2 linked regions of the Yarrowia lipolytica genome follow. The protein of the gene in region 1 interacts with the protein of each later gene in a pairwise test. Links are inferred from orthologs where the notes say so. Each region holds a gene or a part of one and is shown in the gene's direction. Other genes may lie near its edges.

Evidence for each region. The genes of interacting proteins can lie anywhere in the genome.
Region 2: the proteins of YALI1_D14893g (region 1) and YALI1_D11151g interact in binary tests that used the Saccharomyces cerevisiae proteins (3 or more experiments, as listed by UniProt). The link is inferred for Yarrowia lipolytica from reciprocal best matches to the Saccharomyces cerevisiae genes NOC2 and RRP1.

The regions. Positions count from the first base shown.
Region 1 is NC_090773.1:1,486,761-1,490,715, reverse strand, and holds YALI1_D14893g (uncharacterized protein), read left to right. Parts: upstream 1-1,355; coding exon 1,356-3,416; downstream 3,417-3,955. UniProt on the Saccharomyces cerevisiae protein: Involved in the intranuclear transport of ribosomal precursors.
Region 2 is NC_090773.1:1,113,794-1,116,100, reverse strand, and holds YALI1_D11151g (uncharacterized protein), read left to right. Parts: upstream 1-928; coding exon 929-1,807; downstream 1,808-2,307. Other genes in the region: YALI1_D11159g (uncharacterized protein), read right to left, coding at 1-125. UniProt on the Saccharomyces cerevisiae protein: Required for 27S rRNA processing to 25S and 5.8S.

The DNA.
Region 1 (3,955 bases):
TTTGCGACTTTTATCCGAAGCTCTGATAGTGGATAGATAGCATTGGCATTATCTTGATGAGTATCGCCGAGTTGTCGAAAGATGAGATAGAACGAGATAGTCGGAAATTACAGCACCGGTGACGTAGCAAAAGATGATTCGCTCATCATTGGGGAATTGTCTTCATCGTGTCTTCTGTGTCTGAGTGTTGGTAACTGGGTGTGTTGTGCAATGACCGTACTCCACCACCATGTCGTTTGTCCGTGTTGTCCATACTATCTGTATTTGTGTCTCTGTGTCTCGTCGGTTTGTGTCTGCGTCTATGCCCGTGTCTGTATCTGTGTCTGTGTCCGTGTCTGTGTGTGCCTCCGTATCGTGGTGTCCACCGTGTATCGTATACCATGTCGTTTGCTGATGACAGATTATATATTGGGATAACACTACACACCTTGGTGGACTTCTAGGTTTAGGAAGCACCGTGGTGGTTATTGGATGTAAAATGGATGGAGCAACGAGGCGATAACAAGTACAGGACGGTTACGGGGGACGAGAGTGGTTTGAATGATTTCTGGGAATCCTCTCACATGGTATGGTTTGATAGGTTTCTTCAAAAAAACTAGCAACCCCAATATATTATGTTACTCTTGAGTAGGTGTGCTACAGGTTGTGGTCTAGTACAAGTACAGTAGTTGACTTTGTTGGAAGTTTAGTTAAGAGAACTGCCTGTTGGGGTTGTCTAACGGATGCAAGCAGTCCATGGTAATTAGACGTATATTTACATGTCTCTGACAGTTGTAGAAATATATTGAACAAAAAAATAAAAGGAAATCAAGCTGTTTTTACCCCTACAACAAACTAATACCAACACCCCCATGTTGTTAAATTTAGTTAAAACCTCAACTAAAGTTCACACTCCCAAACCAACCCACGCTAGAAAAATCCTGACCCACATACAGCAAAAGTCGCGTGGGCGCAGTCCATACCGCCGGTACTGGTGTCTTCGTGAAAAGGGAAGCCAAAAAAAATATATTTGCCTTCGACCAGATTTGAACTGATGATCTCAGCATTACTAGTGCTGCGCCTTACCACTTGGCCACGAAGGCGGTTTTTAGCGTTTCGAAATCTGTAGCCTGCACCCCCCGGACGTGGAGTTACAGGTTATGAGTAGAAAATAAGACGTAAATGTGATTCCTGATGGGTCTTATAAACACATATATATGTCAACAGCTGTTTTAACGTGTATAAGATTCCATATCACGTGTCTAAGTTGTCTTCATCAACATTTCGATTAAACTTTCTGCCCGCATCAACTCTAAAAAAATTCGAGATGAAATTTCAAATTGAGCATAAGCACATCTCACTACAAGACAATCACTATGGGTAAGGCATCAAAGGCGACGAAAAAGTTCCAAAACAAGCATCTGAAGAAAACCATAGATAAGCGACGTGTGGACCAGGCTGCCAAGGCCAAGGCCGTCAAGGGTCGACGTCCTGGAGCTAGCGTCTCTGCCGAAGACAAGGTCGAGAAGGCTGCTCCTTCGTTTTTCGAAGACATGTCTGTGGGCGACTTTATGAAGGGTGGATTTGAGGTTCCCGAAAAGAAGGGCAAGGCCGCTGAGGAGGACGAGGACGAGGAGGAACTTGAAGACGAGGAAGACGAGGACGAGCAGGATCAGATTGAAGCTGACGACGACTCTGAAGGAGAGGCCTTCTCTGACGAGGACGAGGCCCCCGAGATGGACGACCCCGAGTTTCTCAAATACCTAAACGACGAGGAGAACGTGGAGGAGGACGCCAACGCCGAGGAGGAGGACAAGGAGGAGGTGACACTGGCCATGGTCAAGAAGTGGGCATCTGCCATGGAGAAGACTCAATCTACCGACGCTGCTAGAAACGCTCTGCGGGCTGCTAAGGCTGCTCTAGCTTCTCAGGAGGATGAGAATGCTACTGCCAACTTCAAATACGTTATCAACGACATCAAGGTGGTCACCAAGCTATTTGATGTGGTCAACAGGTGGGTGCCTGTGGTTCTGACCAAGCAGCTGCCTCTCAAGCAGTCCAAGAAGGGTACCAGCGTTGTCGACGAGGAATCCGCCACCAACAACAAGTCTGCCACAGCTATCATCAAGTCGTATGGAGATGTCCTGCAGCAGTCTTTGAGCACCACCACTGGAGCCGAGGAGACTATCCGGTCCATTGCTGCACTCAAAAAGGTCATGCCCTACATGCTGAGTCATCGAAAGCTCACTAAGAACCTCATCGCCTCCGTGTGCTACATCTGGGGTACCAGCTCTGCCATTTCTGCCCGAGAGGCTGCCTTTGCTCTGCTAATTACTGAGTCCAAGGAGCACTCCGGTACCTATGAGGCCATTCTGAAGGCCGCCTACGGACAGTTTGTCAACTCGTGCAAAAACACCTCGTTCCACACCATGGGCACCATCAACTTCATGAAGAATACCGCCGCCATGTTGTACGCTGTCAACGAGCAGCAGGCTTATCCTATTGCCTTTGACGCCATCCGACAGCTGGCCATCCACCTGCGAGGCTCTCTGACCAATAAGACTGCCTCCAAACACGCCTACAAGGCCGTCTACAACTGGCAGTTTGTGCATTCTCTGGACTACTGGTCCCGAGTGGTTGCCGATACCTGTGACGCCGAGAACGAGGCCACTAAGGGCTCTCAGTCCCCTCTTCGACCTCTGCTATACCCTCTGGTCCAGGTCACTCTTGGAACGATCCGATTAATCCCCTCGGTCCAGTTCTTCCCTCTGCGATTCTACCTGATCAGATCTCTGCTCCGAATCTCCCAGCGAACTGGAGTTTACATCCCTTTGCTGCCTCTTCTCACAGAGCTGCTTAACTCGTCGGTCATGACCAAGCCCCCCAAGTCTTCGGCTCTCAAGCCCCTGGACTTTGACTACGCCATCCGAGCCAACAAGGGCTATCTGGGCTCTCGAGTCTACCAGGAGGGTGTGTGCGACCAGATTGTGGAGCTGGTGTCCGAGTTCTTTGTGCTTTACTGCAAGTCAGTGGCCTTCCCCGAGCTTGCCATTCCAGCTGTAATCACTCTCAAGCGGTTTACCAAACGGTCCAACATCTCCAAGTTCAACCGCCAGCTGCTGACTCTGCTGGATAAGATCGACGCCAACGCCAAGTTTATTGAGCAGAAGCGAGCCAACATTGACTTTGGCCCCACCAACCGAGACCAGGTCAACAACTTCCTCAAGGACCTGGACTGGCAGAAGACCCCTCTGGGTTCCTATGTGGTGGTGCAGCGACAGGTGCGAGCCGAGAAGCTTGCCATTCTTCGAGAATCGCAAGAACAGGACGCTAACGACGGAAACGAGTCCGACCAGGTCGAGCTGGCCGACTTCAAGGACGAGCCCGAACAGCTCAGTGAGAGCGAGGAGGAGGATGAGGACGAGGAGATGGAGTAACCTAGTAGACTATAGACAATGCAATATGAATGAAATCAAGAATACGCGAAGTAGATCCAAAGTGTGTTATGTATGTACACTGCTAGCCAAGATGCCATGGGATAACCACGAGAAAATTTGGCATTAGTAGGTGTACAATACTGTGTTCATCACATCCATACTACAAGTGCAATTATCAAGGAGCTAAAGACAATACCTGTAGTCAGATGGCTGTTCATCAGCAGACAGAGCTAGCTACAGGATGAACAACAAAGATTTTTCAGTACACCTGTTTTCTATGGAATCCTAGTAGATCTCCTGTGCTTGAATCGTCTCTTCTCTTAGTCTGGGCTTCTACAGTAGAATCAACCATTTTCCAACAAACAAATTCAAGTAAATACTTAGAGAGTCGAGCTCCCCAGGTTCGAACCTCTCATGAAGAAAAAAAAAAAAAAAAAAAAAAAAAAAAAAAAAAAAAAACTCATGTGTCATTTGCAAACTGTGTTGGAAATGAAATTAAAAGAATAAATATCGCTTAGATACAGGATGTGACACACATT
Region 2 (2,307 bases), about 370 kb from region 1:
GTCGACACGTGTCGCACAGACACAAACTGGGTCTTATGGACATGTTTTTGGAGACCAGTTCTCAGAGTCCGAGTACTGGAAAGAGCCTGTCTCAAACAGGCGTGGTTGGAAACGGCTCGAAGCATGACGGGTCTAGTTGTATTCACACAAATGTCGACGTGGTCAGTGGAAGAGTGTCGTAAGATGTCGCGGGGTCTCAGCTGGCTTATAACCCACTACACTTTTTAGGTCCCGGCAATAGATGGTTTTGTGGGGGAGCCTGCATTGGGCATCTGGGTTAGGGCAGGAGATGCGCGTCGATATCCGAACCGTACATACTGCTGGGCGAGGTTATGTGAGATTCGGGGAATACGCGGGCCCCAGATGTTGGCTTGAGTGAGGGCAGTCACGTGGATGGGGTCACGTGAGAGCGAGTGGGCAGATCGGTCTGTTCGCTCCTCCTACGCGGTTGATTCTTTGGCTAGTACCACGGTAGCGACGATATTGTAGCAGTGTAGGCTCCCATGCCGTTGAGCTTTTTTCGCCTTTTTGGGGGGATTTTGTGGGGACACCGTTTGTTGTATTTTTAGAGTTTTAAAAATGGGTGAGTGATAGGGGACAACAGGTTAGTTGGGACTTTAGTTGTGGTTTAGTTGAGGTTTAGTTGAGGGTAAGGGGGTAGTATAGTCTCGAGAAATAGGAAGAGTTGGCCTATTAATATTTATAACACTTTTTGAGGCTTCTAGTGTTGCAAGGACTTTGTCGTTCCTTCGATACCCGCTCTATTGCTGTGATTTACTGCTACCACCATGGGACTCGAACTGAGGTCGCCTGCAACTTTGCCTTTTTCATGCTTCTCTCAAGCAGCACTAAAAAATTTCGAGCTGCAGTGATTGAAAAAATATAGAGGTGCATACAATCCAAACCACCACAAGACACTACAACTACAATGGCTGCTGGCAAAGTGAAAAAGGGGTCCAAGAAGGCCGCCATCAAGGCAGATAAGCCCTACTCTAAGAAGGAAGACAACTCCGCGGATGATATCCAGCTCGGAAGCCCCGATGCTTACCCGTTTATCAAGAAGCTGGCTGCCAATGACCGACCCACTCGAGACGAGACTCTCAACTCGCTCAAGCGGTTCCTGGGAACCCCCAAGGCCTTTGGTGAGCTCGAACTGCTTAAGCTGTGGAAGGGTCTGTTCTTCTCCATGTGGTTCAGCGACCGACCTCGAACACAGCAGCGTCTGGCCGACGACATGGCTTCTCTGCTGCTGGTTGTCCACGAGACCAACTACTTCACATTCCTGGCTTCTTTCTGGAAGATTATGAGCGCCGAGTGGCTCGCGCTAGACAAGCACCGAATCGACAAGTTTTACCTGCTGCTTAGACGGTACGTGGGCTTCGCCTTCCAGCGACTTGCCAAGGAGGACTGGGACGAGACCTGGATCGAGCGACACAATGAGGTGATGAGCAAGATCCCTCTCAACCCCGAAAACCCCAAGATCCCCGACAGTATTCGGTACCACGTGCTGGAAATCTATCTAGAAGAGCTGGCCAAGGTGGTGCTCAAGGACAAGAAGGAGGCCGAGAACGAGGAAGAGGAGGCCGAGCTGGTCAAGGAGCTGTTTGCCGACGTTCCCGTTTCCGAGCTTCTCGAGGCAGTCGAGACTCTGTCCGAGGAGACCAAAAACTCGGTCGTTCAGAAGCGATGTGTGGAGGACGTGCTCGAGAACCCTCTGCTCATCGAGTGGGGTGTTGCCGAGGAGCTCGAGGGCGCTGGCGAGGAGGACGAGGAGGACGAGGAGGACGAGTGGGCTGGGTTTGTTTAAACCCGAGTCTCCGACCATAGCTATCTGGCTCCAAATGGTTTCCCTATAGAACATCACCAAGGATCTAGCAAGCAGTATACGGATACTAGAGATCCATCCATAAAAGACATAGACATATATTTAATATTCACGTACAGATAGTTGTTAGGCGCAGAAAGGAGGTCGTAAGCGATGGTAGAGTGGACAGGGCTTAAAGGCGTACAATTACAGCATGTAGATATATCTTCATTGAGGAGAACAAACTGGCTACAGTAGGTACACACTGTACACACTCTAACCTTCTGTTTCATTGTGGACCAAGAAATGGACATATTCCAGGTTTGCGATACAACTTCTCACGCTCCAATAAGCAAAGAAAGAAGCATTCTCACATTTAGTGGAGCACACAATTCGCTGGCAGTAGAGTGTCCGACAGTCACTCTCTACAAGAAGTCCGCACTTGTCAAGTTATCTTTTTATACTGGTTACAATGGACTAACCCGTGTTCACAATTGGATCTC